Linked DNA regions of Arabidopsis thaliana. The protein of the gene in region 2 interacts with the protein of the main gene of each other region in a pairwise test. Each region holds a gene or a part of one and is shown on either strand. Other genes may lie near its edges.

Region 1 (9,985 bases), on a different chromosome or scaffold from region 2:
CGCTTAGAAAAATTGGACAATGGTTCAGACCCATATTATAAAAGGACCAAAATAATTCTGATTACGAATGAGCAGGAACCTTGATTTATCAGGCGTCCAAAATTAAAATAGTTATCCGATTTTACTCGCATTTTTTATTTTAAAGAATTGAAACTTTAAAATGTTTCAAGAAATTATAAATATTATAACTTTATCAAAAGTTAAATATTATAATTTTAAAAACTTTTTATAAAGTATATCTTTAAAAAATGCTTTAAATATTTATAATTTTAAAACTTATAAAGTTTTAAAAATTATAAATTGAATTTTACAAGAAATTTAAACATTATAAATATATAAAAAATATATTAATACGAGACGATATATTACAGGAAAAATCTTAAATATAACAATCAAAATTCAATGATGAATTTTGGGTCGATATTGTATTTTTTTTAAGTTTCAAATTTTATAATATTGAAATTTATAAGAAAATGACAAAATTATGTTTAATTTCACGGGACTGGGTTATATGGTAGGACGGGTTTGGGTGGATAATAATTACGATTTTAGAATGTCCCATATCGCTTAAAAAAATTGGACAATGGTCAAGAGCCATACTATAAAAAGGACCAAAATGATTTCGATTACGAATGAGCATGAAACTTGATTTATGAGGTGTCCAAAATTAAAATGGTTTGTTTACTAGGGTTATTTATTTTAAAAAATTGAAACTTTAAAAAGTTTAAAAAATTATAAATTAAATATTACAAGAAATTTAAACAATATAAAAAATATTAATACGGGACGATATACTGCGAGAGAAATCTTAGATATAACACTCAAAATTCAATGATGAAGTTTGGGTCAATATTAATCTTTTTTGAAGTTTCTAATTTTATAAATATTTGAAATTTATAATAAAATGACAAATTTGTGTTTAATTTCACGGGACGAGGTTATATGGTGTGACGGGTTTGAGTGGATAATAACATGGGATAGTATGCTATGGAAAAAAACATATAATAACAATCATAATATAATTATATAATCTTAAACACTAAACAAAATTAACAATATTAAAAAAAAAAAACTTAAAACTTTAATTTTTTTAAAACACATTTTGATTCTTTTATAAGAAATTTAAACATTATAAATATTTAAACTTTATACTACGGGTGAAATTTTATAATTGACTGTTTGGGTTGATAAGAATTTACAATAGAACTAGGAGTTAAATCCTAGAATGACAATCAAAATATAATTATACAATTAAATACTACCACGAGTGAAATCCTATAATTGACGAGTTTGAATCGATATTAATATGGGATGGTGTACTACGGGTGATATTTTAGAATTGATTGGTTTGGGTTGATAATAATTTACGATAGAATTAGGAGTGAAATCTGATAATGACAATTAAAATATAATTATACAATTAAATACTACCACGGGTGAAATCCTAGAATTGACGGGTTTGATTCGATATTAATATGGGATGGTGTACTACGGGTGATATTTTAGAATTGACTGGTTTGGGTTGATAATAATTTGCGATAGAATTAGGAGTGAAATCCTACGATGACAATTAAAATATAATTATACAATTAAATACTACCACGGGTGAAATCCTAGAATTGACGGGTTTGATTCGATATTAATATGGGATGGTGTACTACGGGTGAAATCTGAGAAACAACAATCAATATACAATTATACAATATTAAACATTTAACAAAATAAACAAATATAATTTAAAACTTTAAAATTTGAGTTATAAAATTTCGTCTCGCGGTGAATTATACATTTAAATCAAACAATAACATAAATTTATTAAATCATCCTAAAAATTATTCAATTATTTTTTATTTAATAAAAATATAGGTCCGCGGTATACTGCAGATTAATATCTAGTATAATAAACAACATTCCAAACTAAAAAAATACTACAATCACGACCAAAGTTTGCTCTAATTCCAGTCAAAGTTTCAAACCCTAACTGTAAAAGCTCTAGTTCGAGAAAGATCATAATTGATAAAGACAACGACGGCGACGAAACTCCACGGTAAAAGATGCTACCACCGCGTCTCTGAAGAAGAAACTCCTGAGTTTTGGAGGCGACGACGAGGAGGGAGAAGACGAAGCTTCCCGTGTCAAATCCTCTTCGTGTCCGAGGAAATACAGGCGGTTTGTTGTTTATGGATATAAATTATGGTTAAAAGAACGTAATTGATGTTTGTTGTTTTATCCCATTATATATGGGATCTCGTTTACTTCAATAGTTTGGAAAATCAAGTATTGAAGTTGAATATATAGAAGATATGATTTTCATCATTTTAAATAAAAGTAATTAAATGCTAGTTGATATATTTTTCAATGGCATATCTTATAATACCCCACATAACATTTGATTATTTTGCTAACAACATTGCATAAATAATAGTACAAGATAGCTCTTGTTGCTAAAGTACACTTGATTTAATCTTTTTGCCGTGCTCCAGACTTTGTCCTAGAGAGTTGGGTCATACAGGCTTTTGATTGGCATTATAATTAAGTGTGTTTCTCTTTTTCTTTTTCAAAATCGTTCATGCGCTTTGGTTTAGTCAAATACATAAAAGATATCTAGTATTACATTGAAAACCATAGAACAAAGTAAGAGGAAGAAACAAATATAAAAAGTGTGAGATGATCAAGTATATAAGAGAGTGAAAAATGTTTTCACTTAACACTGGACGCTTCCAGAAAACTTTGAAAGCCTTCCTTAACGATATATTCCTCAAAAGAGTATGTTCTAAAATGCGGTTAGCATAACCGGGTCGCCCTAGTCTTCTTAGGTCTCATACGATTATGGACCCACGAGATATATATAACAGGATTTCGGATGTACAAAAGAAAAAAATCAAAGATATAACTATAATAATAAATTATAATCCCTTTTTGAGATAAAATGATTTAAAGAAAAAAACAGAGGAATCAATTTTGGTGTTTAACTTTTACCGGATTGTGTGTTTGGGTTTTGTTTTTATAACTTCTACTGTCCCGTCTTGAGCCGTTTTGGTTTCCGAGTTTGCTTGACATTGTCGTTTCTGGTTCGAGAAACCGGTTCACGAACTTCATGATCCTATCGAGATGTGAACAAAACTATAAACTATCAAGATCCAACTCATGAAAATGTGTTTGAATTGAATCAAACGTAAGTAAAGAAAAAGATACCTTGAAGGAAGAAGACGAGGATTGTTTAGCGAGCTCGATTTCAACGGAGATGCTTGCTTTCGTTAAGTCCACTCCTGAATTCTCCAATGCTTCTCTCAGTGTTTTCACTAATCTGCTCCACACACAAAAGTAAATGTATAAAAGGTTAATAATTTTTTACTTTTACTTAACTGTTGCAAGATCAAAATTCAAAAGAGAGTTTTTTAGTTTTACCCTTGTGAGTAAACACTTGAAATTCTGATGTTACCCTCAAGAACTTCCTCATCTTCTTCTTCTTTTTGACTCCGGGAACTCGGACTTGGCTCTACAGCCTCTGATGATGCGACTCTTGCGTGGAACTGGGGTACGGGATTACCCGCAATCACAGGAGAGAAAAAACTGTTGCTTTGAATCGACAATGGAAATGGAGAGGTCGTCGCGGTTGTTGGATGATCAATAACAACACCTTGTGCAGTTGCAAGGACCGAAACCGGAATGTTGTTTTTCTCTTCTTCCAATTTTGGAGCAAAAGCAACTCCTTCAGGTACTAGCTGTTGGTTGTTGTTACTCTGCTATAATGTAAATGGATCACACGGGTTAACATTACATGGTTTGTTTGTTTTCAGTTTCCAACCCGGGGAATAAAAATGAAGTATGGTCGGAAAATGTGAGATTATATTTACCCAATTCAATAGCTTCGCAGGTTCGTGATTCCATCCTTGGTAAGAGGTCACATACTTGTCTGCTTTCTCTTGTAAGAATTGAATATACTCGATAACCTGTATGAAGTTGTCAAAAAAAAAAATTGGAGATTAGGAGCAGATGTGATTGAATCTTACTGTCACAAAATTTTCGGCCAAAAGAGTATAGTTATACCTCTAGTAAGAAGGAGGCCTTATCCCGCTTTTGGTCGCTGTTAGGTATTAGTTGTCTCAACATCTGAAATCTGCAGAGGGATCCATTAACAATGTTTGATTAGTATCTCCACTCTGCTAAGCTATATAACCAATTCTGGTGGCTTTTGCTACATATTCAGGACTTACCTATCATTGATCTTGCTCCTTCTCCGTTGCTCTGTAGCAGAATGTTTAGACCTAGGTGTGTTCAGCTTTTGATCGTTAGGAGAGCCTCTCACATCTGCTTTTACCCTCAAATCCACTGTAAAGAAGCAATCAATCAGATCCTAAGCTGTTACTGTTTAGACTTTAGATATCATATAGGTGGAATCTCGGACAATACAAACCTCTATGGCTCTGGCTAGTCGAGGAGCTTTCTTTCTTCATGATAAAATCTTCTTCATCATCTAAATCATCTTCCTGTGAACTTCCTTTTGCTGACCTTATCATGTCCATGAAGCTCTGGCTCTTAAGCACAGACCCTCTGCAACCAAAGTAAAACTTTAGTTGATCACTCTTTAAAGTCCATAGACCGAGTTATATAAAAAAGAGAAGATATGAGACTAACTGAGAGGAAGAGAGAGAACTGAAACCGCTCATATGGTTGTTTGTCAAAGACTGGGACCGTCTCTCCGCCACTGGCCATTGTCCCACAGTTGCTGCAACATCAGCTACACATTCAAAAAAACTTATATTTCATCATTCCATTGATTTCTAAATACTACTTTAAAACTAGTCTAAATAAACATCACGATTCAAGTTTTCTTGTTACCTCTCATGTTTACTCTCTCCCCAACACTATTCTCCTTCCTTGTCTGTCCCTTCTTCCCAGAAGCAGATTCATCCCACAGAGTGAACCCGCTTGATGCAGCGGCGTACGAGCTGCAATTAGAGTTAGAATTCTCATCCAAAACGTTTCTCTCATTAGCATTGAACATCATTGGTGGTGACAACTCCGGCTTAGGAATTCTCTGATGATGATGATGGAAGTAAGGAATGGGGCTAATCGTATAAGTCCCTATACCACCGGGAAGCACGTGCTGCAACGGTGGAGGTGGAGCAGGGGGCGGTGGCTTCTCGGACGCTGTAGTGGTAGAGTTAATCCTACTTACGTCTTCTTTAGCACCAACACATTCTAACGGTTGAAGAAAATCATGGGTTTTCAAGTGACTACCTGCTTCACGTACCATCAAAATTAAAAACATAAACTATATGTTAGAGAAGTAAATCCCTAGATAATACACATTTTCTTATACATCAAGTTGTATGCATTTAAACGCTTATAGTAATTAACAACATTTTGTTATTTATGTGATGCAATTCTAGGGATCAACATCATGAGGGTTGAAAGATATTTATTTAATCGAAGGCAAGGTTTAACGACATGTGTAGACGAAAAAGAAAGAAAAAAACGGTCCCAAAATTCCATGGGCTTTAAACACAGATGGGCCCATTAGGACCCAACAAAATAGCAACATTTTGATCCATGATTCGTCTTAAAGTCAGATCAGATGCACGCGCGAAAAAAACGTGACCCCTTTTAAGAGAATCTTAAAGAAGAAAAAAGGGTAAAATGGTAAAAAAAAATACCTTGAGAAGAAGGTGGTGGTGTTGGCTTTGGATCTGGGTGGACGGTTGAATGACTGCAGAGCGATAAAAAATCATGTGTTGGTTTTCTCCCTGTGCGAAATTCTTCTTAATATATATATCAAAATTCAAAAAAATACATAAATTTAAAATTATGAATCTTGTAGAAACTAAACACTCTGTTTTAAAATAAAATAAAGGAATTGGTAACAATAATATCTGATAATGGTGTTTACCTTGGGTTTTGAAGGGACGAGGTTGAGGAAGCTCCATGAACGACAGAGCTTCGACGGTTTTTGAATTCTTTTTAAATTATTCTATTACTAATCTGTGCGCGGGAATTATCGCAAAAATTGGCTAGCAGCTCAGATCTGCGACTTGTAGCAGCTGATTCAAGAGATATTGTGGTTTTCGATGGTTGAAGAAGCGGAATTGAGCTCTGAAGTTGCTGAATTATGCTTTCTCTGTATCTTTTTACCGATAAAAATCCTCGAATTTGGTCAAATTCTGCTCGATTTAACCTAAATCAGCCTCCGCCGCAACTTTTCTCAGCGAATTCCACAGAATTCAAACGGGAGAATCGGCAGAAGTCACCAAATTCGTGGAATCGATAGATCTGTCATCAGAATTGGGTAGAAATTCAAGAGAATAACCATAATTCAGCGGAATTCATAGCTCAAACCAACTCAATTTCGCATAATTCAAGTCAACCAATGAACATGGAGATACAAAAACTAGAATCCAAGTCAAATCTCTAAAGAACACGAATGGATTAGATTTGAGCTAAGAAGCGTACCTTCTTCGACAGCAAATTACGTGAAGCTTTTGGCGTGTCAAGGTACTGTTGAAATTACGCCGACTACTATCATGCGTCGAAGTAAATGCAATCAAAAGGAAATCAGTTAACTAATTAAAATGGTAAGATATGTATGATTAATTAAGAATCTCATGTATCTGATATTCAAGTCATCGTACATTCTTCTATAGCCTAATACCACCAAACCTAAATGAACAGTGCGAAAAGGAAAAATAAAATAAAGAAGATTTTGTGTCTCCGTTTAGAAAATCATGCTTATAAAAACCTCCATGTAAATAATGTAATCAGACCACTGTATTACGTGGTCTATGTTCGTGTGTACTGAATGCGCATAACTAGACGACTTGTTTAATTGGTAAATTGGAAGGTAATTGGTAAGTTTGACAAAGATACGTACTACTAATTGATAGCTAGGCTTGGCTGCAAACAATTACCAATTTAATAGTAAATTTAGTAGTAGAAATTCTGCTATAGATGATGGAATATAGGGGGACAAGTATGATTTTGTTCGTACGTGTATGCGTCTATGTATTTGTGTGAGTGGAGATATATGTAATGTATGTGACATTAGGTGGAACAAAGACAGCTCTTCCGCCTTTAACAAATTGTCTAAAACCCATAGTTAAGAACCTGATCATGTGAGCTAAGCGCATTTTTATATTTAGTTGAATGCCACTTGTTACAAAATCACTAACTTATAAGTAAACCAAATAGACGACTTACAAATTACAGTACTTATTTTAAAAGTCTTGTTAGCATTTACTAAACTAACATATGTCTAGTACTGTATATAATTTGAATTATATATTCGAAAAAAGTCATCTCTTAAAACCAAAAATAAAATGATAAAATATCTTTAGTCCATTTGTATTCAAGCGAAAATAGTTATGGCTTTCAAGTTTTTGCAAGTACGTATATACTTGATTAAATTACTTAAGATTTTCAGTAGTTAAGAATTAAATTTACTTACGAGTAATATTTATTGCCCTCCCCTAATGCTTACAATCTAGTTAGTTTCTGAGTACTACATCTTTCCAGTAGTCATGAGTTTAATCTGAAGATAGAAATAATAAATTGAAAACAGAGATGGAGATGATAGTGAGAAAGGAACTATAGCTAAATAGTGTTGGATCACATGAAGTGAAAAATTGTACAAAATAGGGAAAGAGCAAAAACAATTACACATCCCCACATGCCTTCCACTTTGTCTCGTGAGTTGTTAGGTTGTGCTTAAACACGCTTTATTCTCTGTATTTTATATTAACCCCATGAATTGTATTATATTGATTTAAAATCACTCGCAATCTCGTGGTTCTTTGATGAAATGTATTATTGTTATTCGAGATTCGGTTTCTCTAGAGCACAAGTAATTGGTTAGATACATTAAAATCAAAAACAAAAAAGCAAATGGAATTGTTAAGATTTTTACACGTTTAGATGAGAAGAAAGAAAGAAATCAAGGAAAGTAAATAAAAACGAAATGGTCAATTCAAGTGAAAGGCGAATAAGAGGTTAGTGTGACGTCGTTTTCATGATGTAGTGGGACCACGTGAACTGACTCTGCAACTCACGTGAGAGAAACACTGTAGAAACATAAATAGATTTTCGAAAACATTAACATCAAGGGCAATTTAGTAACAATACTTCTTGACTAGAAACTTGGAAGGCTAAGGGTTTTAGTCGATCGAAGAAAGAAGGTTTCCATTCAGTCTCATAAACTGTTTATTGATATGCCACAAACCGACCTATCCTTAACCATTCGTGGTTCGGTTGGGCACATCATGTTCTTCCCGTCTTACGTAATTCAATCAATAAATAATCATTCAACTTGAGTTAGTTAACAAAATAAGAAGAAGCATATCAAGTAGGTTTCAACTTCAAAAGATTAAGATCAAAATAACTTATATAATACAAAACATATTTTCTTTAATTTCCTACGCATATTATAAAACATATCCATGGAATTAATTAGAATAATGTATAGGAGAAAATCATTCGCGGAGTCACAAGATTTCTTAAACATATTTTTACATATTTAATCCAATTTGAAGTAAATCAATGCGAGATCTCATCACAACTACTCACCAGGTTCATGCACACGCTAACAACTGTTTTAATATCAAGATTTGATAATATTTTAAGGGTGAACAATATTAAACATCTCTTTGCATATAAGTATATAACTATATATCAATGACATTTTTTTTTTTTTGGTTTTAATGTTAGATATCAATGCTCTCTACGTTGATTTCTTACAGAATTACAGTTTATCAAACATTCTCTTTTCAGAAGTTTAATTAAAAAAATATAAACCCTTAATTTATTTATTTTGTTGTTAAAGTGTTTTTAAATAAAACATTAATTACAGAAACTTTATGCATACACAAAAGAGTGTGTGGGAGAGCATCTCATCTGAATTAGCTGTCTTCTTTACTTCTTTTTTCCTTATAAAGAGGACTATTAGTTGTCTCTAATCATTGTTATTTTCTTAATAGTATAGTAACAGATTAAATAATCATAAAGCAATTAGAAAAGAAGAATAAGAAGCTGGACTTGAAGAAAAACAAATGTATTTGTAATGCGGACATTCCTCTGTACATTTGCACAGGAATCCTCTTAGGGATCAGTTAACAAATAGTTTATCTATCTAGATATCATGTGACTTAGGGTTAAAACACGAGATTAAACAACTAATTATGATACATTGAAATTAAATATGAAGTTTTTAACCAAGGAGAAGGCTACGTACGAGACTTTGGATCTAAGAGGACACGTGGCAGTTGCGCCGCGTAAATCGCGCCGTATCACGTGATAACGAAACCTTTTGGGGTATTTTTGGCTGCCTACCTCACAGCCTCCCCCATCCATCACGTGGCCAACTCACACCTCTCGATTATTGCGGGTCCCACGTTTCTTTTTTACGCTATCCCGTTTTCACTATTTTTTATTCAAAATATAAATTAATTTGCTAATTATAGATATAAAAGCTATCTTAAAACAAAAGCTGTTAAAATGCTTTGTTAGCAAAGGGGAAAACAAGAACAAAAACTATGTACTTTGAAAATAACGGACCGTATAATTTTGATATGAAAAAAGAGAAATTCTAACCATTAAATGCACTGAACCAGATCACTGATCTATATATTGTTTTTTAACTCTTTTTTTCAACGTGCAACTAATTTAATTCTTGTACTGGAAATGAGTTATGATGACAAACAAAACAAAACAAAAATAAAATAAAAAATAATTTCTGAATGTTGCAGTTTTTATGTACCATCTATGATCTATGATAAATATACAAAAAAAAAAAAAGTGTTCATGATGCTGGTTTCTGGTGTAATCTTTTTGTTTCTTTGATCGGAACACGAATCTTTGCAAGATTATTGGGATAATTAACTAATATAACTTGCGTGAGATATGGCAAAAATCAAAGATGATTATTGATTAGGGTTTGGATATAGCATCTTCCGATGACATGAGTTGAAGATGATATATATTTTGAACTAGCTTG
Region 2 (7,178 bases):
AAAATATCCGTCGCCTATCTCCGACGACGCTCTTTTATCCCGGAAAATCAGACAAAATTCAAATCACTCACACTCCTCAAACTCAGCTTAACAAAAACAGAAACTACCAAAAAGAAGAGCAAACAAAAAAAAAAACGTTTTCAGAGAGAAGAAACAAATAAATTTGAATCAGAAGAAGGAAAAAAAAACGAATGAGTAAGAGAGAAAGAGGAAGAAAGAAAAGGCTGTGTCCTCTCTGGAAATGGGTGGCACTACGCGATTAAGAAAAGAGAGGGCCAATTTCACAAATTCTTAATAAAATCATCAATTTCTCTGCATTCTCTTAAATTTACGTATTTACCCTTATCTTACTCCACTCTAAGGAAGCAGCGTTTAGGGATAATATAGTCATTTAAGAAGCAGCATAACGGTTTACTCGGGCCCCACCACGAGTCTCTCGGACCTGACTCAACGCCTCTGTTTTATTTGTGTCGTGTAAATGACTTCATTACTAAGCTTGTGACACGTGGTCATCTAAAATATCTCCTTTGTAATTGGGCTTACTTTTAACACTCATCATGGCCCATTTAGACATCCTTAAAAGGTCAACGGAAAGAATCATATTCTTCTTTCTTCTAGGGAATTATTACTATGATTAAAATGTTTAGGATACAGAGCATCATTTCATGTGTAACAATGTATCAACAATCCTTATCAAATTATTTAATTTTAATGAGACAAAATGATTCAATGATTGTAAATCTTTTAAACAAAAGCCAGTGGATCATCATCGTGACTTGTGTTGGATAGGTCGGCGAGATACATTGACTATAAGGCCGTTTACTTATGATTGAGATATAAAACTCTTACTTGGACAAATAAGATAAGTGTTTGTCTACTTGTACGATTTTTTCCACTCTTGATAGTGAATTGAGTATGTTAGTTTCTTTCTCTGTTTATGATTGCTTAAATAGTTAAATGTAAGATATCACCCGGTAAGGAAAATTTGATTTTTCAATTTCAATAAGAATAAATTATTGGGTTATACGTATGGATGAATGATGATAATATTTTGATCGGAATTATGAGAACGAGTGGAGTATGTGTGTGTACATGAAAACGACGACTTGGAGGCTTTTTGAGAAAAGATAAACTACACGTTTTGTAATTCGATTTGATTTCTAACATTTTTTACATAACATAAAGTAAACAACGATGCGTGATAAAAATATCCTAATGTTGTATTGCATACGTTAACGTGTGACGCTGTGTTGGATTAGTCGGCGTTGACTTGATTTTTTAAGGTCTCCCACTAATATATTATGAGGTTTTCAATGTCTGAAACGTCACAAGCCCCACTTTATCATTTGAGTGGTCTCAAAAGCTTTTAAATCACCATTCACAAAAGTATATTTTGGGAAGATTAAAGAAGAGAAGAAATACAAGGTAAACTTAAATTTTGTTAAGAAATGCACTGCACTTTCATACATCGAGTTTAACAACAATACTCTGTAGTAATCAACCACTAAATATTCAGGATCATAGATGATAATAAAGTTATGTCACAGCAATTAGCAGACGTAGATAATAATGTGTGGAGTTGTGGAAAAGAGCAATTCAAGTGAAGTACATAAACCAAGAATACAAACTTTCCACTTCTCAGATGTAAATCTCATAATGGGCCTGATTAAAAACTGGGCCTAACTTTTTGCGCCCATGTCTACTACTGTATGGAGAGAAATTTTGCTATTACTAAGCTTGGAGTTCGAATAGAGTTCAACAATTGAAGTTCCGTGCTTTCGCTGTGTTGAAATTGACAATGCAATAGATGCTTTCATCCATTTATTTATTTAACTAGAATCATACGATCAGAGTTTTTTTTGAGCGAATCGGATTTTTGATGTGGAATATTTTTACAAGGTATATATATCAAAAAATAGAAAAGGAACAATATGGTTTTGACAATTGCCTAATGAATATTAACTTTATGTTTCTACAAGACTACAAATACCCCTAAACCCCTAGCCTTGAGCCTTCATCTTGAAACAATTTGACATTCACCCTGTTAATAATGTATCCCCTATTATGATTTCACTTTAATTCGTTGAGATTTCTAAAGTTAGCATCCAACAGGAATATCTAAGTTGTCTACTTATATGAGACAGTAGATTAAATTACAAACATATGATTAGTGTGTGCGTACGTGTTCATTTTCTTTGGTACCATTTTTGTGGTTTTCAATTTTCGTATACTACTAATTTCATCGACGGATATACATGTTACATCAACGCAATAACCACGAAACATACGGAATTGCGAACATGAGTAGTGGGTACAGTTGATACAAAAAAAAACGCAATTTTTTTTTTGTATTTCATCATATATTCGCAATGAATTAAACTCATTCTGCATATATTTTAGTTTTAGTTTTTTTGAAAAAGCATATATTTTAGTTTTTTTTTTTTGGTCAAAGCATATATTTTAGTTTATTTCTGCAAATTCAGTACTTATTAATCAACATGTGAAAAAATCAGTACTTATTACTAATTTTTTTGACATCAATCAATATTAAAGTTCTTGACCTTTGTTATTTAGTAGTTCAGCTTTTCCTTTGGTGATAGAATGAAGAGAGCACGAAAAGTTGGAGAAGACAGAGACAAACACTGCCTTTTGTACGAACGTTAGTCCACTTTTCAGACTACAAACAAATAAATGTAAGGATATCACTTTTTCATCTGCAGATTCACTTTTAATAGGTCGATACCAACATTGCTGAACAAAGGAATTTTCCTATTTTACTCATCTCTCATCATATATATTATTTCTTGCTATTACGACTATGTTAGAGGCTTAAAGCTGTTTAAGAGTTACGTAACTTCTTAACAAGTTCCACCATGTGATTATAAATTATGATACAACTTAAATCATTAAGCGCGTAATGTGTCAGAATACGTGGATATAAACTTTAATTAGCTACGAAAATATATTATAAACTTGATTATAATTATGAAATCCTATTAGCAAATTCAACTTAAAACATAATTTAGTTAATATCCAACATTGGGAAAGGTAGCAACTTTAAACTAAGTCGATAGTACCAAAACTCAAAACATAATCATGATGAATATCTAGCTATCCCCACGATCTTCGGCAAGTACAGCCTAACTGAGTTCCGTACATCAACATTTCTTGATACCCCCACTCGTTTGATCCCAACGATAAACCACCGTCTGCGACGGCTCTTACGCCGTCGTCATTAGCTTGAAAATTCCCGTAGCGATCTAGTTTCGACGACAAAGTCTCCTTAGTCTCTTGAACCATATTTTCAGAGTATATAGTGAGATTAGAGAAATAACCAGAGTTGTCATGATGGCTAGTCACCGGCGGTGGTGTTGGTGGAGAAGGAGGAACGCCGCGATTTTTCTTCAAGAACTCTTGAACGACCTCTTGTAATAGACCAGTATCAGAAGATTCTTCCGGGAAAAACGACTCGTTGTTTTCGTTTTCGGAATAAGAAACGCATGCCGTTTTCGATGCTGAGTAAGAAGATGATGAGCCGTTGAAAGAGTTATTATACGGAGTCGTTTTACGAGAGGAACACGAGGCGTCGCGTAAGAAGATAGACTGTGTATTATAGATCCTCTGCGCTGCCGGTGCACCGTAAAAGTTTTGGGTAGAGGAATCTAACGGTAGAGAAGGAAGAGGACAACGAGCAGACGGCGAAGATTTCTTGTTGGAAAAAGAAAACCTTGGTTCAGGCATAATGACAGCTGTCGGATAAGTAAAATTAGTACGAGCCTTTGCTCCACGAAAGGCACGAGCCGCAGAGTCGTAAGCACAAGCGGCTTGTTCCGCCGTGTCAAATGTTCCGAGCCAACGTCTCTCCTTCGACATTGGGTCACGTATCTCCGCCGCGTATCGTCCCCACGGCCTCCGGCGTACGCCGCGGTACCTCGTCGTGCTGCTGCCAGCTCCGGCGATGGTTACAGTGGTATCTTTTGAAGACAGTTTGCGGTTGCGGCTAACAGGTGAGGCTGTAGGTTCAGTGAAGAATTTTGTGAGAGGATTAGGGTCTGGTGAGTGGGTAGATTCGGTGAAGTTTCTCAAGGCTTTTTCCATTTTTGGTTTCTAGGGTTTTGGTTTGAGGACAAAAGGAAGGTGTAATGTGAAAGATTTTGGTGGTTGATAGTTTGAAAGAGATGGAGCTTCTTCTATCTATTTATAGGTACATAAATGGTATAAAAATTTAATTAAATTTTGTGAAGTTTGAAATATATGGCGAAGAGTATAAATGCTTTTCTTGCACATACAGTATAGTAGTATACAAATAACTATATAAGCATGGAAACTTTTGAGTTGCACTTAAAACTTGATTTGATTAATAACTGATAAATTGATAATACTTCTTTTGTATATTAATCTTAGCAAACTAAAATTTAATTTTACATTTAAATTTACTTGCTATCTTGTTCATCATATATATATGGGGTAGATGTTTTAAATCTTTGGTCTAGACATTAGTGTTTTTCTTTGATGATGACGATGCAAGTGGGAGTGGCGAAATAAAACCACGTTCTTATTGCTTTTTTATTTATTAAAGTTAAAAATCGACCAACAGTCATTTCACACATGCTAAACATATTTACATTATTTCTGTATGATTAGTAAAGGATAATTCCATTATTTCTAAAACTGCCAATTAGAATAATCCTTGAAAAAGTATCTTTGTTTGTTAATGTTAATGTATGATTACAACATACACCAATCGGTGATATCGAGAAGAAAATAAATGATTTTGTAAGAAAAGTATGGAACAAAAGATATGCATAGCAACACTTCAGTGTAAATCTGACACTTGTGGATATTATTGTACGAAGAGGACATTTCAGGTTTGTCTAAACGTATGTATGAGACATATATGTATTTCATGTATCAGAAGCTTGTTTTTTATTTATTGCTTCTGTCTTTTTTTTTGTTAAAATTATTTATTTCTTCTGTCATGAAATAATCATGCCATATCGCCCGATGCTTACGTTTTATTATAAAGTCTATTAGAACAATATAAGAATTTGACAAGTTTACTGGAGTATCTTTCAAAAGCTTTGGTAAGTATTACTAATTGTTTAAATAAGTTTTGAAATAGCGTTGTAATGGCTGCGTTTGCGTCATATGTGTTTAATTACTACCATCATTTGAGATTTTTTAGGTATTATTATAAAACCATCTACCATGACCATGACGTCATGAACTCATTATATTGAGATTTATGTTGGTTGGTCGGCAAATGACTGAATGAGACAATAAGCAGCAATTAAAACCCCTGCGTTAATTCTGTAATTTTACAAGCAAACTAAAATGTTTTAATTTAAAATGTGCATAGTCATAATATGAACTTAAACTGATAACATTTTGTCTAATGTTGAAATGTTACAACTCTATGTGAAACCATAGGCAAGATCTTTTATTACCAAACTAACAGTATCCATGGTTGATATAAGATTTTGTCTGGGGGGGTAGGTTGAGTTAATATATACTATAATAATTGTTAAGTATAGTTATTACTATATGGTAAAAACAACAAAAGAGTTCATTGGTGAACTTATCTATTTTCTATTAAAAATTTGAGAAATTCTTCATAATTTTGGGAACTAAAGACTTTTGGTTTCCAGCTCAGTCCTATGCAAATGTCTTTGTGATTTCCGATGTCACAAAGTAAATTATTACGATAGCTCGTGTTCTGAGATAATTTTAGTGTATCTATCATAATATCAACTTGAAATACTTCGGTTTCGATTAGGGTTGGACATGTGAATTATATATCCAACCTAATCAATTAAGTGAAAGCAAGAAATGAACCAATTATTTATAGTCAAACCGTACTCAATCTACATATCTCACAACCAAACGAATCAAACTTAACATGACTTTAGTTCAACCAAACAAACTCAGCAAAGAAATCAAATTTTATCTAAATTTTATATGTAGATAGAAATATATTAGTAAAACTGTAATATAACCATATTTTTATCAAATAATTTTTAATGAAAACATGGACCATATTATAAAAAATTATTTATTTTCTAAAGAAAAAATGATAACTGTTTTTATACTGTTAATTTGTATCTATAAATAACCAAAATCTTTATAAATCCGTAAAGATGGAAAAGGATGTATTCTAATCAATGGGAGAGTTGGAGTCGTTGCTTCACCACTCTATTTTTAATCCCCTTATATTTTTTCTTTCTTGTTAAGTGTTGCTTTTTTGTATGAACTATGTTGGTATAAATGACTATAGTATAGTAACTAATCAAAAGTATGATTTGATAGATTTTGAAAGACAGAGTAAATGGTGGGTCGAGAAAAAGAAGATATTGTAACGACAAAAGAAAGAGAGTGTCAAATACCAAGACTCCAAAACTCAATCAATCAATTTTATCCCTTGAAAAACGGATTTCACTTCTTCGAATTATTCATTCTTCCAAGAACAATAATCCTTCATCAACATCAAAAAGAATTCTAACTCAAATTCTGCTAAAAAGGACTAAATTATAAAATGTATTTCTTTAATAATGATCTTTCATCAACATCAAAAAGAATTCTAACTCCAAATTCTGAGTTCAATCAATCAACCTTCTTGCTTTAATAAAAACAGGAAAAAAAACCGTCAAGTAGTAAAAAATAAAATAAAATCTTTCGAGATAAAAGTGTGATACAAAATAGGTTAAAAAAACAAATCCCGTTGAAAGTGAATGACCTTTTGGGACATAAGAAAAGATCATTCTCATCATTTTGCCCCCTATGATGTGGACCCTGAGCACCCATGCGTTACATAATATTACTTTGTGATTTGACTATCTTTATATTTTAAGAACTTATAATTCATTGCTTAATATAAATATTTTTACTTCTCTCAAATATACTGAGAAATTTGGGCCAAATAACATTAAATGCATCCACACTCTTGAATAAATTATCTAGATTTCGGATTGAAACTGAAACTTCTGGATTATTGGAAAATCTGGTGTAATGCTCTTTATTATAATATAAGCTCACGTCTTGTTTAGACTATTGAGAAGATAGACCAAACTTACTGTTTGAAGAGTAATTACACTAGAGTTGGGTCCTAATCTATATAACTAATTAACACATTGATTATTGTTCTTATGATAAGCTAACTTTTCAACACCAAATTATAAGCT
Region 3 (6,509 bases), on a different chromosome or scaffold from region 2:
AATTTTGTTTTTATGTAGAAAAAAAGGACCAACGTCTTAATGGAGTGTTTTTTTAAAAACTTTGGAGGCTTGGACCAAAAAAAAAAGTCACCGACCCCTACATTTAATGTACTAGACTATAGACTTTTAAATGTTGAGCATGTTTCATTAACCGGATAACAAAGAACCCTAAATTTGCGGAGGTGAAAAGGACAGGGTAGAACTAGTGATTGTCTTTCGCATGACAACTGCTCTTAGATATCGTGGAAGATCCATTGCCTATCATTCAAAAGCTCTGAGCCAACCAAGAATCTATTTCTAGATTTCTACCACATCAAAATTACAGAAACTTTTTTTTAAAATGAAATAAAAGAACAAACGTAAGATACTAACTAACTTACTAATAATTAAGTTACTAACAAATACTCCTTATATTTAATATTATACATATACTTACTTATTTCCCATCGACCATGACTATTGCTAGTTGAACCTGATTATAATTCTTAAAAACTAAAACTATAATCTAAAAATTACAACTTTAGATGAGCCACCCTCTCCGAGAGCTTAGCCAATGACTTAAGATTAAACCCAACGATTGTATCAGCAAAAGACGTCGTTTCCTCCTCACTATTTCCTTCCGGCACATCCACCACATAACTCTCCACCACCACCGTCTTCTCCTCCGTATCCGCCGCCACAAACGCCATCGTTTTCGACCGGTAATTAACCAAACGATGATCACCACCTATAATGCTAATCATCATCACATGAGACTCATCGTCAAGTTCATCTAATCTCTCTCGGCTGAACTCCGCTGGAAGACCGGAAACCACCGTCACTTCACGGACGGAGCCTTCTCCTCCATCGCCGGAGCTTAGATTGCACGTTTTCACGAATTGTTTGTAGGCTTGAGGGTTATCAAACCGACGTAGAATTGACCAAACTAGAGATAGTGGAGCATCTATAGTTTGTACTAGTGTGGAACCGCACGTATGATATTTTTGAGAAGTTTCCATTTGTGTATTGCTGTTTTTTTGACGAAATTGTCCTTTTATCGACCGTTGTTTTGTGTGACAGTATCTTCAAACCTTTTTGAAGCTTCCATGCATTAGTGTTCGAGTATTTATACGAGAAATATCTAAGAACAATGCCGACTAAAAAAAAATATGAGTTGTCATTTTTTGGTGTTTTCTGCAAAATATGAATGTAATATCAAGTAAGAAAAACTTTGTTGATTTGTATAACATAAGATGATAAAAAGAAGTTTAAAGTGTATATATATTTTAAAAGAATACATTGTAATATGCACATAAAACCAAAAAAATGCTTTAAAAGAAAGACTGATTAATCAGTGTAGGATGTGTAGCATATGGTGACAATATATAGGCATATGGCTACATATTTGTCCGTAAAATATATTTAAATAAATTGTAAACTTTAGAATGCACATTTGTTTTGTAACGTCATTGTAATGAAGAATGTATTTCGGTTAAATTTGGAGGGTTATGACATGGATTGTGGAAAAACTAGTGGCATGTAATAGATCCACGTTTTCGATTTCGTTCATACGAACCACACTTATTTACCACACATTTATAGACATTGTTTTTGTTGATAAAAACTTGACTAAATGAAAAAAAACAAACAAAAAAAAAACAAACAAGAACAGATGAGAGAGGGAAGGACATATCTTTAAACGCCAAGTTGAGAACAGGCCCAATGAGCCTACAGATTAAAGATCCATTTGAAGCCCAAAATAGCATCACTTACTCCTTCAGAAGGTAAAGATAATTGAACCGGAAACCGATAAGCTTAACCAAATTGTATTTCTGTTTAACTTTTATAGGGTCCCTTTTTCTTTTGTTAACAATTTGAAAAGGACCAAATAATTGAACCTTCGATCGTAATCGCAATCTCACATTTTCAAACTCTTATATTTTAATCTGATCAAAAATAAAAATAGACACACAATAAAATAAAGTTAAACAGAATAAAACGTTTACGAGTTCAGTCGATCAATATGATTAGAGATGAAAATAATTTCGGTAAGACTTTTGCATGCAATCTATCAAGATTCAAGGCCGTATTTTAGCATATGTAAGTAGGATAATCGAACAATCCTAATTTTGTTTAAGAAAATCTTAAGTAAATATGTATAAGTGAGGTTATTTTTTTTTTTAATTGTTTACCAACATATTAGCAAAATGTTTTTTAAATATTACCTTCAAGTAAAAATAGTTTGAAATGGCTCTTCATTCTACTAGTATGTAATTAGTTTCTTGTGAGAAAAAGTGTAAAAATAAGTAGAAGTTGAACAATTGAGCTACAGCCAAATATAACAGAATTTAAACTATTTTTCCTCTTTAAAAAGAAGCTGTTGGAGACGAAGGGTTAATTACATTAATTACCATTGTATTTCAACTTTTTGTATTTTTTTTTTGTGCAAGAAAAAAATGAATCATAAAATATACTTTTTATTTTATAAGCGAACTATGTTTAATTTCTTCACTTGCACATGCTAAAAGACGCTCTTTGGCATCAAGTTTCAACTGAGAAGGTATAAGACACTGAACGATCAGAGTCTGCTTTAGAAAGCTATTTCGCTGGACACGTTAGTACTCACAAGTCAATTCCTGTTACAACAACAAGAGTTTTAATCAAAAGAAAAAAAAATGATTTTAACTTTTTAACTTGAATGATTTCAAAATTTGGCTTATATCAATACATTTACAAAGGAGAGTTTAGAAATGGACTCAAACTAAAATTGTATATACTTTTGGGCAAACAGAATAATGACATTTAAGAAAGAAACTTAAACAATTATTTTTAATTTCACAAGACATATAAATACATAATTATACCTATATTATTCCCAGTTGAATAAGCATATTTTGCTAGTTGCTATATATCCAAAACCTCGTAAAAATGTAAGAGTTTTACTTTTAAATTCTAAAAACTAATACTATTATTACAATCCCACGACTTTTACAACTTTAAGTGAGCTCCATCATCTTCTCCGATAACTTAGCCAATGACCTAAGATTACACCCAACGATAGTATCAGCAAACAACGTAGTTTCTTCCTCAGTATTTCCTTCCGGCACATCCACCACATAACTCTCCACAACCACTGTCTTCTCCTCCTCCGCCGCCACAAACACCGTAGTTTTCGACTGGTAATTAACCAAACGATGATCACCACCAATAATGCTGATCACCATCACATGAGACTCATCGTCAAGTTCATCTAATCTTTCTAGGCTAAAACTCGCCGGAAGATCGGAAACCACCGTGACTTCACGGACAGAGCCTTCTCCTCCATCGCCGGAGCGTAGTTTACAAGTTTTTACGAAATGTTTAAATGTTTTTGGGTTATCAAATCGACGTAGGATCGACCATACTAGAGGTAACGGAGCATTGATAGTTTGTACTACTGTCGAACCGCATACATGCTGTTCTTGAGATGTTTTCATACGTGTTTGTTTGGTGTTTCACAATTTTGTTTTCCTACCGACAGTTGTGGTTGTTGTCTTCAAATATTTTACGTAGTGGCAAGTTTTTTTTAGTATTTATATATGAGAAAAATCTATAGGTCGACAAAAAGATGAGAAATATCTTTAGAACAAGGCCGACTGAAAGAAATACTAAAATTATGAAATTCTGAACGCATAACAAGTAACAACGAAAATTTATTTATATATTCTATATGACATTTAACTTTGGAATAAAATATTTAGTTTAAGTCCATTGTGATATTTTATACATGCACATAAATACCAAAATACTTTAACGGCCTGAGTAAGTATCAAACAGTGTAGCATAGCAAATTGTATACAAAATACTGTAAGGAACAATTTGCGGTTGTGGTTGGCGGGTTATATGACATGGACTGTGTTAAAAATAGTGGCAAATAATGGTTCCACGTTGGTTTACACGAATCACACTTATTAATCACACATTTATAGTGTATTATAAGAACCAAATAGTTGACAGATGTTAAAAGAAAAGAAAGTAGACAAAAAGGAAAGGAAACAAATAAGAACAGAGATGAGAAGTTAGAGATTAGAACTTAGACTTAATCCAAAATGGCAAGCTCAGAAAGAGGCCAGATGAGCCTAAAATTTATAGATCCATTTTAAGCCCAAACTAGCATCACTCTTTTACATTAGTTTTTAACCTTCAGGGTAGCCGATAATCGAACCAAAACCGATATAAAAATTAAACCAAAATGTGATTTCTGTTAATATAACTTTTCTTTTTCCATCTCCAAATTTAAATTCACGGATATAGACTAGCAAAAAGAGCCAAAATCACAATCACAATCTCACATTCTAAAATCTCTGACGATTTTGTTTCTTTAGTCAAAAGAAAAAAAAAATTATCGAAAAATTAATCAAGGAGACATTTACGAGTTTAGTCAATATAAGAAATTAAGTTGGTTTCAGCAAGACTTTTAATTGCAATCTACTATTGAGTTCTTATGAGAGATAATGTAAAGAAAGAAGAGGAAGTTTGAATAGTTAAATTAAATCGAATGTTATAGATTAAAAACTATTCCGGCTAGCTAGGTTTTAATCTATAGTTATATTTTTTCTGAAATGTATGATAAAGACTACAAGATCGTACGACATATAATTTGGCTTATATCAATACATATTTATAAAGAGTTTTAGAAATGGAGTAACCGGGAATGATTAATTCATGGCGTTGGAGATTAACTCCTTCAGACATGTTTCACAATAACATGGAAGGAAGTAAAAGGGTTCATCTTACTGGTTAGTTAAACCTTAAATAACATTTAATTTATTAATTTCTAGATAGATAAACTATGGTTCTGGAACTACATGAAATTTTTTTTAACATTTAAAAAAAAACTACATGAAAATTTAGCAAGGAGAATATGGAAATTTACATTTGCAAATACGTCTGCTATTGGGTGCATCATAAATGCCACACTCGCAATGAAAAGGGTATTCTTTGATTTTATTAAAGCCTCTTATGCAAGTTTTGTTTCCGTCCCACCCACAATTTTGTTCGAATACTTGTGCCTTTTCGCACACCTTCTTCACTCTCTTGGCCTTAGTCTCCACCGATTTCACCTCTATTCGTTTTTTATTTTTATCAATCATACATACACACAACAAAAATAATGTCAAAATTGTAAATAAAATGATTATTTAATATATAAAAATTGATAATGCAGTAAGTTTTTTTTTGTCTTTTAAACCGAGGATACTAATCTAAATCGAAAGAACAATAGTGTACATTACGTACCTCTCACGTGACTAAGAACACAAAATATGAGAACACAAGAAACCATGAACAAGGTAGTAGACTTCATGATTTAACAAAAATGGTAAAAGCTACTGTCTTTGTTACCTCTCTCTTGTAACAAGTGTGTTACTTCTCTTTAACGGAAACTGCCCACACCAAAAATAGTTATTTAAACTAAATTAGGGGAAAAGAAAAGGGACATGTAAGAAGATCAAGTCAACCAGATCTACAAAATTAGCTGTTTAATCTTAAAAGGAAAAATAATTGGATGGAGGAGCTTGTCTGCGTTCTGATTACAGGACATAATGGATGCAACATTTTCATAAATTTATTTTACACCTAACTTAAATTTAACAAAACTTCAAAAATTACCAATATGATAGCCAAGAAACGAGGAAAAGACAGCAATGTTACATTTGGAAGTTTGATAAACATTCAGAGGCTTTAGAGCATCCTCATTGGTGAACCACTTTTTTGAGTGTCTTGAAACTAAAGTATTTAATATTTTAATATTAAAAATGTTAAAAGAATATACATGGAGGGATGGGTCTTAATTCTTTAAATTCTTTTTAATTATAACATTAATTCATCTTTATATTTAAATACCCTATATTTTTATGATCAATGAGAATGATTTTAGAGGTTAAGTGACAAGAATATCCAAAAATATTATATCCCTTGTTAAGTTGTGTAATGTGTTATATACATATATATGAGCACATGCATGAATTATCAAGAGATATATATAAAAAATTAGAGGACTTGGGAGTCCGAGCAGATCTCTTTCCCTTCTAAATTTGGTTTTCGATCTAAATCCAATATTCAACAGTAAACTTCTACTCATTGATTTATTTTTTATTTTGTAATAAACTAATAGTAATATATAAGTTCCTCGATCGTGTGTAACCAAATTACATTCTTTTTACTATAGAACAACAAAATATCACTCACACATCAAATCAAACAAAACCAAAACGTGAAAAGGTAATTAATGATGATATTAATTCATTATATGGTTATAAACTTGATAAAGTTAAGCAAATAGAAAATCTCTCATGTTATATGTTTTTTTCTTTTTTTTCTTTTCGCTTAGAATGTTACGTCAGGGACAATACCAAGCTCCTTGAAAGCAGCAGGACAATCAGCCAATGGAGTCTGAACCATGAAACCGAGAGGGTTAACAATACGTGTCTCGTGGGAGACGATTCCGTCATTCGCCGTTAAACTGATCTTAGCGGCGTTACGTAAGTAAG

What was found.
Region 1: the proteins of ESR1 (region 2) and BIM1 interact in binary tests that used the Arabidopsis thaliana proteins (3 or more experiments, as listed by UniProt).
Region 3: the proteins of ESR1 (region 2) and PYL12 interact in binary tests that used the Arabidopsis thaliana proteins (3 or more experiments, as listed by UniProt).

Annotation. Positions count from the first base shown.
Region 1 is NC_003076.8:2,603,642-2,613,626, forward strand, and holds BIM1 (basic helix-loop-helix (bHLH) DNA-binding superfamily protein), read right to left. Parts: upstream 6,610-9,985; 5' UTR 6,454-6,609; exon of another isoform or gene 6,274-6,453; 5' UTR 5,931-6,273; coding exon 5,894-5,930; intron 5,763-5,893; coding exon 5,661-5,762; intron 5,245-5,660; coding exon 4,843-5,244; intron 4,742-4,842; coding exon 4,639-4,741; intron 4,555-4,638; coding exon 4,418-4,554; intron 4,333-4,417; coding exon 4,218-4,332; intron 4,121-4,217; coding exon 4,051-4,120; intron 3,954-4,050; coding exon 3,858-3,953; intron 3,747-3,857; coding exon 3,409-3,746; intron 3,308-3,408; coding exon 3,196-3,307; intron 3,104-3,195; coding exon 3,014-3,103; 3' UTR 2,377-3,013; downstream 1-2,376. UniProt on the Arabidopsis thaliana protein: Positive brassinosteroid-signaling protein. Transcription factor that bind specifically to the DNA sequence 5'-CANNTG-3'(E box). Can bind individually to the promoter as a homodimer or synergistically as a heterodimer with BZR2/BES1.
Region 2 is NC_003070.9:4,426,711-4,433,888, reverse strand, and holds ESR1 (Integrase-type DNA-binding superfamily protein), read right to left. Parts: upstream 4,172-7,178; 5' UTR 4,099-4,171; coding exon 3,112-4,098; 3' UTR 2,924-3,111; downstream 1-2,923. UniProt on the Arabidopsis thaliana protein: Regulates gene expression patterns in meristems and thus modulates organ development. Required for correct embryo patterning and cotyledon organogenesis. Modulates auxin signaling pathway in early embryos.
Region 3 is NC_003076.8:18,603,589-18,610,097, forward strand, and holds PYL12 (PYR1-like 12), read right to left. Parts: upstream 3,524-6,509; 5' UTR 3,456-3,523; coding exon 2,976-3,455; 3' UTR 2,810-2,975; downstream 1-2,809. Other genes in the region: PYL11 (PYR1-like 11), read right to left, coding at 513-998; SCRL27 (SCR-like 27), read right to left, coding at 4,869-5,083, 5,257-5,323; AT5G45880 (Pollen Ole e 1 allergen and extensin family protein), read right to left, coding at 6,346-6,509.